Linked DNA regions of Caenorhabditis elegans. The protein of the gene in region 3 interacts with the protein of the main gene of each other region in a pairwise test. Each region holds a gene or a part of one and is shown on either strand. Other genes may lie near its edges. The genes, in order: piki-1, mrpl-54 and arrd-11.

Region 1 (4,693 bases), on a different chromosome or scaffold from region 3:
ATTTTAAATTTCACTGTTTCGTCGCTAAATTTTTCTCATAGTCATCCACGATTTGCTAAACTTTCAGCTCAAAATAAACGCATTCATAATTAAAACCAAAAAATTTCAAACTCTAAATAACCCATCGTATACTGAAGTCTCAAATAGTATTAAGTCGGAAACTTGCCTAAAAGTAAGTCCTACCTACTTATTGTGAAAACACGGTACCTTCCAGTGCATTTGTCTAGTACCTAGTACATTTTCCAAAACATCAAGTTACCTGTGATCTTTGTAGACTACAACTTTCACTGTACTTGCTGTAGTGACCATATAGTCGACGGTGGGTGCAATAAAGAAATCTGGAGTCATATCCTTTCTAATCAAGTTCCTCTTGCATAACTTCTTCACTTGTTCCTCAATTCCGTTTGGACAGTCAATGAGGCAAAACGAGGATGACGGGAATTCAATGTTCTCTTGTATCAGCTTGGCGCCACCGACACATTCTGGTTCTGAAATTATGCACCTATTGGCAAACTTTCATATTTCTGCCAACCATCAATAGGCTTTGAAAAGTACGCATTCACAGCTGGCATAGAGTTGTCTGGAGAGGGTGTGTCGGTGGAATAAGTGGATATGAACAGTGGGTCGAATTCTTTTCGGATCTGAAAAAAAATCAACGTTTTCAAACGTTTATTGAATACTTGAATTGCAGTACTTGAACTATGCGATCCTAATGCGAAGAACAATTCGAATTAGTTCAGCCGAGGAGGACCTAATGTGAAGGGGGAAGGAAAAAAGTGGACAAAACCAATCAATTTCAATTTGTTTCTCGTTTGATGATAAACGTCCCCCTCTCGAGATAGGGTCACTTTTCTGACCGTATGAAAAGAAAGAAAAGATAATCGGTGGATAAAGTGTTTTTTGGCAAATTTATTTTGACAAAAAAATTTGGGGCGTTAATATACGAATTTAGTTGAGAAGCATACCTGAATTTAGTTAAAAACTATCTGCCTGATACTGGGTGGTCTATAATTGTTGTGTCGTGACGACGATAGAGAATAATAAGAAGGTTTATTAGTTAAACCGGAGAAGTGTGGAATAATCCAAAATACAAGAAGAGTTCACAGTGACCCTTTCCTCACGTCGATAACTAGTAAAGGTTCACGTTCCTATCCAGCACCATCTGAGTTTTTGGTGGAATGGTGGCAATGACTTTGGACTGCAGCTTCGTTTGTCACGACACAACAATAATTTAAAAAAATATGGACCACCCAGTAGATAGCATGTGCTATGTAAAATACTAATATAAACTAATACAATAAAGTGTTTTTAATAGAGTGTTTTTGGCAAATTTACTTTGACAAAAAAGTTTGGGCGTTTACATACAAAATTAGTTGAGAAGCATGAAGTATCTGTCTGATACTGGGTGGTCTATAATCAAAAAATATGGACCACCCAGTAGATAGCATACACTAGAATACTAATAAAATTATCTTCTTTGCAAAAGTCTAATATTTTTAGCTTTAAACCTAATTTTCCTACCTCGTCTTGTGAAGCATTTGAGCTATCCTCAAAAGCGCTCAAATCAATCAAGTCACCATTGAGAAGAGCTCCGTACGATGAGTTGAGGGAATGCATTACGTATGGCACGTAGAGATGAGTTAACGGCTGATACTGAATGCTATGATCATGACTGCCAGTTTGATTAGACGATGTGTCGACTGTCGAGTTGAAACTTATTTCGAATGGCTTAATGGCTGAAATTCAGAAATACATGTATTTAGCAAATATATATGTTTTTCATTTTCAAGAATGTGCATGACACCGCAGGAATTTCTCTACATTTTTGCATAATTCCAAAAAAGAAAACAAGAAAAACAATCTGACCCTTTTTCGTCAAGTGTCTCCTTCAATTTTTCAAACCAACCAAAAAAAAGACAATAAATTGTTTGAATAAACTCACGGGACAGAAACTGCTGACTGTCCGACGCGAACGATGGAGCTGAATGTCTGAGCGGTGTGGAAGAGACTGGAGGTGTGGGATGTATCGGCACTGGAGGTGACTGTTGGACTCTCGAATGTCTTGGCGGCACTGGTGGTGGTGGTGGGACAAAGTAGCGATCATGGAGCACTAAATAGCCTTGTAAAATTAAACAGGATTTTTTTTGTTCTTTTGGAAAATGTATTTATTGATATGATATTATACTTTTAGGACGTACTAATTATATGTATACTCTTCTAATATAAAAATTAAAACTTACATGGAACTGATGGAGCCGGTGGAAACTTATACTGCTCTGGTTTTGGAGGCCTCGGTGGAGGTGGAAACGCCGGCGGCTGGGACGTGGAAGCTATTGCAGACCAGTCTTGGAAATAGTTTCTCGGATATGATTGCGAGTGTGGAATCGGTCCAGCACGAGGCTCGTTGTAGACTGGACGGAAATCAATGGGGCTTGTGGCAAGTGAGCTGCAATGATAACTATTTAATTTTGAGCCGGCTAGGAAATCGTCAGCTCTTTTTATTCCGTGTCAATTTAATCGCTTTTGATTTTTGACAAGCTGTAATTTGTTAAAAATTAATTTCAACAGTACCGTATAGAATCGGTTGTGCTTGTTCTTCATCAAAAAATAGATTTATAAAACATATTTTCCAAGATTTAGAATTCAATTTTTTTTGGTTTATGAGTCACAATTGACACAATAATTTTTCTATTTTCAAATTGAAATACCAAATGACTCACCCCGAATAGGACGAAGGTCCCGGACTATTCGCCTCGTACAACTGCTTTATCTGGTTGATTTTCCGCTGGCGCGCTGGCTCATCAGGACTCTCAAATCGGATCAAGTCCAAGTCGTTCGACCTCAGCTTCTGCTCGTCTTTGAACGTTTTTCTGAAATTGTGAGACGTCATGAAGAAAGAAGAAGAAAGGAGAAAAAAGTGCTCAGGGTCTCCCGGGCCATGGGCATCAGGTGTCTTTTTACACAACTCACTTTGAAATTTCGATGGCTAGTTGGAGCTCTTCATCGTCGCTCATAATCCTCCTTCACGCCCAGTTTGCGAGCTGAAAATTATTCTAACTGGATAAAATAAAAATCTATGAATAACTAGAATTTGAAAATGCTAAAAAAAATAATAAATAAATTATTCACATGTTCACTATTAATGTTAATAAAAATATGATGGTTGAAACAGCTACTACACAAATAACAAGCCTAATATTTTCAAATTTTAAAATAATTTCGAAATAAGCTTATTCAGCAAAAAAAACGCATATTGAGCTTTGCATTAATCAATCCAATTGGTTAACTAGAGAACAAAAAACACCATATGGACGCAGAGGGAGAACAAGAGAAAGAGAGGAAGAAAGACAAAGACAAGTGACCTGTTTAACCAAAAAAGAAGACGAGGACGAACGGGGCAACACAAAAAAAACGGTGCAGGAGGAGGAGGCGATAGTGTGTCTGCGCAGACAAACAGTGTGCAAACACCGTAACGTAAATCCACACACAAACATTCTTGTTTTTTTTCTTCCCGGCAAAACGGTTCGGGAAAAAACACATACCGAAGGGGAAAGTAAACACTTGGTTTTTGGATTGTTTTGGGGAATATTTGTATCCAAAAACTTCATGTCAATACTTTCGCAATTTTTTCAAGACAACTAAATTTTGTGAATCAGTCCGGTTGTCAGGGAAAAAGAATATGCAGTGTACACCTACCAGCCGTCACTACTACTATTAATTGCGCATTTCCAATCACCAGCGCATGCCCTTAAGAAACGAAAAAACAAGACAACGACTTTTTCTTAAAGATTAGCACACTTTCTTATCAGTTCTTGCATTTTGATTCAGAACTATTTCAAAAGTCAATAAAATTGCATTGTTTAACTTTGAGACAATTTTCAGAGTATGTTTTTACTTTAGGCAACATTCGATGCTGATGATTGTACTTCTTCGCCCAATTTAAAAACTTCCGATTTGGAGCCACTAAGAGGCCATCTGCCACAAATCGCCCGTTTACAGGAGCTGTTGGACTGGAGCTGGAGAACTGGAGCTGTTGGAGCAAGTCTGCGGGTTTTGCGTTTTTTTTATTTTAATCTGAAGTACAACTTTGTAGTTTATGATATTTCTTCAAAAAATTTGATGGTCGAGATAAAGTTGTGTTAATTGCGGCACTTTCATGCCTGTATTTTCTTCGTCTTTTTCTGTTCATATCTCGGCCATCAAATTTTTTGAAAAAACACCATCAACTACAAAGTTGTACTTTAGATTAAGATGAACAACTTTGTAGTTAATCACTTTGTCAGAAAAAATTTTTCAACAAAGATATACACATCCAAAGGAAATGCGTTTTTTGAACTTAGGGGTTCTACTGAACCCCAGGTTTTCGTCTGAAATCGTGCTCTGAACATCGAAACTAAAAAAAACAATCAAATTTACATTTTTCTATGACATATGAACAAATTAAGAAAAGTTTTCAAAAAAAAATTTTCGAAAAAATTTTAGAAATTTTTCATAAGGGCGGACCCTTTGGATTTTTTATTCAAAAAAATCCAAATTTTTTTTCATAATTTGTCAAATATTTATCAGATATTGTAAAAATATGTTTCCCTAATTGTATCTATGTACTTTCTTGCCAAATGTGGTGCTTTCGAAAACTAAGAAACTGTAAAAACCTCTATTCCTCTATCTGATCTACCTACTATGACAGTTTTTC
Region 2 (2,956 bases), on a different chromosome or scaffold from region 3:
AAAACATTTTGTGTGTGCACCTTTAAGTTACTGTAAGAATTCTGTAACAAAAAAGTCAATCGAAATTTCCTTCTGAGATTTTTTGTTGAGAAAACACGGATATTTGCAGAAAAAAGTTTTTTCTAAATGTGCAACTTTTTCTTTTCTTGGACTTTCTCAATTTCACTAGTTTCATAATTTTCAGATGCAGCCTTCAACCAGCAACCATAACGATCCATATGCAACACAATTCGAAGACGGAAACTTTACTAATTGGGGAGAGGCCGAAATTTCCGATCGAAAAAAGTTTTTTGACAGTGTGCTCGCGGATCGTGCGCAGAAGAACCATGAAGAGGAGCAGAAGAAAAAATTGGCGAAGAAAAGAAAGTGAAATTTTGGCATTACATATATAAGTTCGATTTTTTAAGTAAAAGTAAAAATAAATTCATTTCTATAAACTAGATAATAGATTGATGCTAAAAATTTAAAAACAAATAAAGTCAACAATTGAAAATACTCCGGAACTTAATTCTTCTTCATACTGGGACTATTCTGCAAGTGTAGGAACTTAGTCTTCAACTTCTGAATTCGTTGATTTTGCTCGACTTGTCTTTTTCTTAGAGCTCTCCAGTACAACCATCCATCCTTTTCGGCATCCAAATCTTCTAAATCTCTTGGTGCTCGAAGATCCAATTTGAACAGCCATTCAGGATACTCCGAGTCTGGAAGAATTTTCGGTCCCGGCTCATCTCCTTGTGTGTATGCATTGATGCATACGTGGGTTGCCAATTTGACAGCATCTTCTTCGACGAAAGATTTGTCGACTTTTACACCTGCAGCAGCTGCTGCAGCTTTTGGTGGAGCATATAAGCGTCGAGGTATCAGTGATGTAGTTCGACTGACTGTTGAAAGAGTCGAACGGAGCATCTGAAATTTTGAAACTAGAACTCTTGAAATCGCACATACTCAAAGCAAGATAATATTGCGTTCAACTATGTACAAGCAAAATATCTTTAAATGTGATAATTTCATTTTTCGGGTCGAACTTTTCTTTAAAAAAGCGGAAAAAAGCTCAACCATGAACTGCCTCCATTTTACTTTAATTAATTTTTTAAAAGATTTACTTTATTTGCTTTTCGAATAATTGTTTTTACTATAAATAGAAAAACTGCAATTTTAGAATGTGACATTCTAGAATTTTTTGAAGTTATTATAAAAATTTGCTAGCTCCATCGAGAAATATATTGAAATTTTTCTCCGGCACACTTGATCGACATAATACATGCACATTAGATACGAAAAAGTATTCAAACTTCTTTTAAAAACAATTTTAAAATCTTATAAAATACAAGATCTTTTTGTTTAAAAATAACACAACCAGTCATAAAATAGAGAAATAAAATCCACAGATAAGTGAGAACAAAATACAGATATGTCAGAGGTTTTGAGGGGTAATAACTGTAATTCACAAAAAAAAAGCAATAGAAAAATTATTCCAAAGAGCTAAGTTTACTAGATCTGACACGTTTTGCAGATGCTGACGATTCTGGCGATTTCAGCAATCGTTTTCCTGTGCTCAATCGAGACGACGGTGAACTTATATGTCCAGTTGAGAGAGGAGTTGGCTTCTCAAAGCTTTGCACATACATCTGTTTTGCTGCACCTCCAGGTCCATTCAGAACTTCTTGAAATGTGACAGCAAGAGTGGTTTTTGACAGTAGAGATGGCTTGCTGAGTCTCGGTTTGAACATTGTTTCTTCGGAGAATTCGATTACAGTTTTTTCAGTTTTCTTGAATAACTTTCCGGCGCGAGCAAACATATCATCGCCTTGTTTCGGCTCATCGAGCAACATCAATTCTTCCGCCTGAAAATATTATGTAAAATAACTTCAAGAAACATATAACTTTTTTAAAAACTATGCATAACATTTGAAAGAATTTTAATATTTTTGGATTTCATTTAGAATATAACAAAATCAAAAGGAGTAATAATTTTTAATTACCTTTTTTCGAACAATGTTTTGTGCTCAAAACATTTTTTGTGGGAAATTATTATCAACTCACATGTTCATATTTGAACTTGATCATTTCGGCTCGTTCCTTCTTTTTTTGTTCATCTTCTTCTGGTTCATCATCTTCTCCATCACCATCATTTCCATCTACATCATCTCCCATTTGAATTTGAACTTCTTCTCGTAACTTGAAACGGAATTGACGATTCGTCTCAACTCCACCGAGATCTCCGTCGGCAAGTAGACGGTCTTGAAGTTTTGCAAGCTCTCTGGAAAATTATAAATTAATTTTTGATTCTACATGCCAAAGTAAAAAAAATAGAGAAAATATATTACCTTTGTTCCTTATCGTTTTCCTGTTTCAGCAACAACTTATGATTCTGCCTCCGAATAGTATCATTATCGGGAACATCATCTGCATCTCCTTCTTCTGCTTCATAAACGTTTTCCATGCCTTCTTCATCTTCTAGATCACTTCCAACATCATCACCGGAAAGTGAAGCTTCATCATCAAAAAGTGTTCTCTTTTTGATTTTTTGTTTGTATTCTTGGTGTTGCAAACGTTTCAAGATAGCTAATTCATCGTCTTCATCGTCGAAATTTGGATCCGGAGCTTCTACTCCTTCGGTTTCAGCTTCATCATTCTCACTCTCGATGTCATCTTCCTCTGGTTCTTCTTCATCATCACCTTCTTCTTCAGCTTCTTCAGCTTCTTCATCACTATCTTCACCATCACTCAGAACAACTCTTTTCAGCTCGGTTTTTTCTTCTAAAACTGTTTCTATCTTTTCAGTGAATTCACCAGATTTTTCGCAAATTTCTTTGATAGTTTCGGAATCTTCCAAAGTTCCCGATCCAAAAACGTCTTGGCTTGGCAATGTCTCCTCGATGACGTCATCTTCTTCGTCCGAATCCAAAACTCGATGATTTTTCACTGCCGGAAGTCTCCTCTTCACACCAACATC
Region 3 (4,554 bases):
TAAATTATAGTAAATTATAGTAAATTATCATCCATAGGTTGTACAGAACATGTGCTCAAAAAATGGTTACTCCGGCACTGGCGCAGTTGGGTTATAGACTGGCAAGTTGTGGAATATATATATTTATATATATATTGCCGAAAATGAAAATTTCCGGCAATCAGCAAATTGTCGGAATTGAAATTTCCGGCAAATCGGCAAATTGGCAGAGCTTTAAATTTCCGGCAAATTGGCAAATTTCCGGAATTAAAAATTTCCGGCAAATCGGCAAAATGCCTGAATTAAAATTTCCGGTAAATCGGCAAATTGTCGGAATTAAAAATTTCCGGCAAATCGGCAATTCGGCGAAGATCAGAATTTCCGGCAAATCGCGAAACCGGCAATTTACTGATTTGCTGAATTTGTCGACAAAAAAATTGGCCGAACAGCAATTCCCGCTCACGCCTGATGTGTATATTAAATGCAAATTTTTTATTTTGGCATATCAAATTTTACGACTTTTTGAATCTTCTGAAGTAAAAAACAACCTGTCAAGAAAGTTTATGCATAGCACCCTAACCAATAACAAAACAAACATAGTTGGATTAAGAATTGCTACTCTGACGGTGGCGCCGTTGGGTTATATATTGGCAAATTATTGAATACTGGGTATTTTGGAGCAAATGGTTTTTCGTTCTCCTCGGCTCTGAGCTCGGTTCCTCCCACTCCATACATGGATTCCTGGTAGGATGGTGGTGGAGCTGAAAACTTTCAATCTTAGAAAATAATTCTGGAATTCTGAATAACTCACCACTTGGAATCACTGCCGTACCACTACCTCCGCTCGGACAGGGCACATTCACATCAGTAAGATTAGCATACGGTGGTGGCAGGCCAATTGGGTAGTTGTTTGGAATTGGTGGTGGAAGATAATTTCGAATAGGTACAGTTCCTATAAGGATCGGCATTTCACACTTAGCAGCACTCCCGCATGTTGAAGTGGTCTCCACGCGGACTTGTACCACGTATTCTACAGTAATCACCGGGGAGAACCGACAGATGGTTGGAGTTACAGATGGCAGACGGAATTCCAGCACAAACTTGTGCTCATTCCCTGGAGTCACTGTCATCGGCTGTGTCTGCGTGATAACGGGCTTAGTGTCGTACTTTGTTTGCTGCGAAGATCCTGACATTAGCGTATCCGAACCTCCATCAAATCGGAAAATAGTCCCGTTTCGATAAGCGATGAATTTGCACTGCTGAATGATTTTCGCCTTGACCTCGGTGACGGGCACGGAGGAGTGATTTAGAATATGGATGTTCATTGGAACAGTCTCGCCGGGTACGAATCCAGTTTTTGGGATGTTTACTCGCAGTTCGAGGTAACCTTTTCTGAAGAAGCAGCAGCCCAGGTTCTCACTTTCTTCGTCGTCGATTGGAGTGAGTGCGAGGGGAATGGCATTGAGATCGATCAGTGGGGAAACTGAAAGGATATAGAATATTTCCTCTTTTAGTACGGCATGCATACTTTCGGCGACCTATTTAGATACTAGTTTTTGAACAAGTTCTCCATAAGTTATGGCACAATACCATCAATTTGAATAACACACATTGAGCCAAATTGAACGAATAATTTTATAACTATGTAATAGGCAAAATAGTCCGAGTTGTACATATTCATTTCTTACCAATTTCGACTTGTTATACCAAATGTGTACGAGTTTTCCTAATTTGCACGAGGGGTCAGGCTCTCCCATTATTTTTTGATCTTCAAAAAATGCGGGGTAGATCAAACTGAAATGGGACAGCCTGACACTTGAACTTGTAGAACGAAGGGGGCAAAACTAATCGAGGCGTCTTACTAATAAAGGAAATACGGTAATACTAAAAATTAGAAGACCGCCCACGCCTCGCCTCACCAGTGATGCACCGTCTCTTCGCCTTATCCAATCTCCATGGCCGATCCACTTCAGCTGTCACCGAGTATCTCAAATATCCATATTTTCCCTCAAAGCTTGGCGGAACGTTGAGAGGAAGAGTATATGAGAATGGCCACACGTAATCTCCAGCAGACAATTCATTCTGAAAATTTATACAATTTCAAATTTAAATGTTTTCAGATTCCTACCGATCCATCTTTGCAAGCCCACAGAAGCAGAGCCTGATCCAGGTAGTGCACATTCGATGAGTAATGAACCGATTCTGAATCGTACCTCACATTGCCGTCATTGTCACTGAAAATGTATGCTTATCAAAAAATTTTATTATTTGTTATTTGAATTATTTATTATGAATGTTTTTTTTTTTTTTTTTAATTTTACTTTTTTTTCAAATTTTCATCAAATTAATATTTTTACGGAACATTATAACTCCTTACAGATCATTCTTTAAAAAATATTGATTGTTGCATCGACAATTTTAGGTCCCCCCCCTTTTTCTGACTTAATTTAGGCACAATTTTACAGTTTTAATAAATATTTAATTATTCGAAAAAAATTTTTTTTTTAATTTTCTTTAAAAATAATATTTTTTGAACAGAAAATTGAAATTCTTTACACTCTGCGAACACTGTCGTAGTCCGTCCAACTAGTGTGAGCCAATCCCAAAATTTTGATATTCACCGCCCGAGCCTTGTATTTTTCCTCCGTCGTTGAGAGCACCACTCGGCCGGAAATCGGTTGTCCCGGGAAGAAAACTTCGTTAGGTTGGTCGAATATCACATGAAGCTCAGTTTCTGGCATGATAACCCTGGAAATTGGGAAAAAAATCGTTAAAAAATTCAAAAAACCGGAAGAAAATCGGTGGAGAGAACACTGAAAATGGAGAATATTGGGAAATTTAAACGAATTTTAATGTTTCATATTTCATAAGAAAAATAGAACAAATAAATGTTGGAAGAGAGAACAAGTGATCAATTAAGATGTTGACATCTTACTGGGTATTTTCATTTACAGGTGTGTGTTAAATAATCAAACCTGATAACAATATTTACTCACAGAGAACAAGAACAAAAACAGATTTTGGTTGTTTAAATAGCGACCGATTCCTCAGAGAATTTTAAAATTGTTGTTAGCAATGATGTTTATATCCGAATGACTAATAACGCACAAAAGAAAAAATATAAATGTTCAGTCAAAATCAGCAAGGTTTTTTTGTCGAGCAATTTGCCGATTTGCCGGGAATTTTCAATTCCGGAAATTTGTCAATTTTCCAGAAATTTCAATTCTGGCAATTTATCAATTTTCCAGAAATTTTCAATTCCGGCAATTAGCCGATTTGCTGGAAATTTCAATTCCGGCAATTTGCCGCTTGCCGGATATTGTCAATTCCGGCAGTTTTCCGATTTGCCAGAAATTATCAATTCCGGCAATTTGTCAATTCCGGCAATTTGTCGATATGCCAGAAATTTTCAATTCCGGCAATTTGTTGATTTTCCAGAAATTTTCAATTCCGGCAATTTGCCGATTTTCCAGAAATTTTCAATTCCGGCAAATTGTCGATATGCCAGAAATTTTCAATTCCGGCAATTTGCCGCTTGCCGGATATTGTCAATTCCGGCAATTTACCCATTTTCCAGAAATTTTCAATTCCGGCAATTTACCCATTTTCCAGAAATTTTCAATTCCGGCAATTTGCCGATTCGCCGGAAATTTCAATTCCGGCAATTTGCCGCTTGCCGGATATTGTCAATTCCGGCAGTTTTCCGATTTGCCAGAAATTATCAATTCCGGCAATTTGTTGATTTTCCAGAAATTTTCAATTCCGGCAATTTGTTAATTTTCCAGAAATTTTCAATTCCGGCAATTTGTTGATTTTCCAGAAATTTTCAATTCCGGCAAATTGTCGATATGCCAGAAATTTTCAATCCCGGCAATTTGTTGATTTTCCAGAAATTTTCAATTCCGGCAATTTACCCATTTTCCAGAAATTTTCAATTCCGGCAATTTACCCATTTTCCAGAAATTTTCAATTCCGGCAATTTGCCGATTCGCCGGAAATTTCAATTCCGGCAATTTGCCGCTTGCCGGATATTGTCAATTCCGGCAGTTTTCCGATTTGCCAGAAATTATCAATTCCGGCAATTTGTCAATTCCGGCAATTTGTTGATTTTCCAGAAATTTTCAATTCCGGCAATTTGTTAATTTTCCAGAAATTTTCAATTCCGGCAATTTGTTGATTTTCCAGAAATTTTCAATTCCGGCAATTTGTTAATTTTCCAAAAATTTTCAATTCCGGCAATTTGTTGATTTTTCAGAAATTTTCAATTCCGGCAATTTGTTAATTTTCCAGAAATTTTCAATTCCGGCAATTTGTTGATTTTCCAGAAATTTTCAATTCCGGCAAATTGTCGATATGCCAGAAATTTTCAATTCCGGCAATTTGTTGATTTTCCAGAAATTTTCAATTCCGGCAATTTACCCATTTTCCAGAAATTTTCAATTCCGGCAATTTACCCATTTTCCAGAAATTTTCAATTCCGGCAATTTGCCGATTCGCCGGAAATTTCAATTCCGGCAATTTGCCGCTTGCCGGATATTGTCAATTCCGGCAGTTTTCCGATTTGCCAGAAATTAT

Evidence for each region.
Region 1: the proteins of arrd-11 (region 3) and piki-1 interact in a two-hybrid assay, tested with the Caenorhabditis elegans proteins (one large-scale study listed by BioGRID).
Region 2: the proteins of arrd-11 (region 3) and mrpl-54 interact in a two-hybrid assay, tested with the Caenorhabditis elegans proteins (one large-scale study listed by BioGRID).

Annotation. Positions count from the first base shown.
Region 1 is NC_003284.9:15,243,352-15,248,044, forward strand, and holds the start of piki-1 (Phosphatidylinositol 3-kinase piki-1), read right to left. Parts: upstream 3,049-4,693; 5' UTR 3,015-3,048; coding exon 2,971-3,014; intron 2,871-2,970; coding exon 2,721-2,870; intron 2,447-2,720; coding exon 2,241-2,446; intron 2,111-2,240; coding exon 1,943-2,110; intron 1,737-1,942; coding exon 1,522-1,736; intron 642-1,521; coding exon 533-641; intron 489-532; coding exon 260-488; intron 1-259. UniProt on the Caenorhabditis elegans protein: Phosphatidylinositol 3-kinase involved in clearance of apoptotic cell corpses by phagosomes.
Region 2 is NC_003279.8:9,158,617-9,161,572, forward strand, and holds mrpl-54 (Large ribosomal subunit protein mL54), read right to left. Parts: upstream 907-2,956; coding exon 505-906; downstream 1-504. Other genes in the region: F25H5.10 (uncharacterized protein), read left to right, coding at 185-370; clsp-1 (Claspin), read right to left, coding at 1,470-1,844, 2,044-2,260, 2,328-2,956.
Region 3 is NC_003280.10:13,761,593-13,766,146, reverse strand, and holds arrd-11 (Arrestin C-terminal-like domain-containing protein), read right to left. Parts: upstream 2,730-4,554; 5' UTR 2,721-2,729; coding exon 2,536-2,720; intron 2,214-2,535; coding exon 2,108-2,213; intron 2,062-2,107; coding exon 1,899-2,061; intron 1,463-1,898; coding exon 791-1,462; intron 741-790; coding exon 595-740; 3' UTR 505-594; downstream 1-504.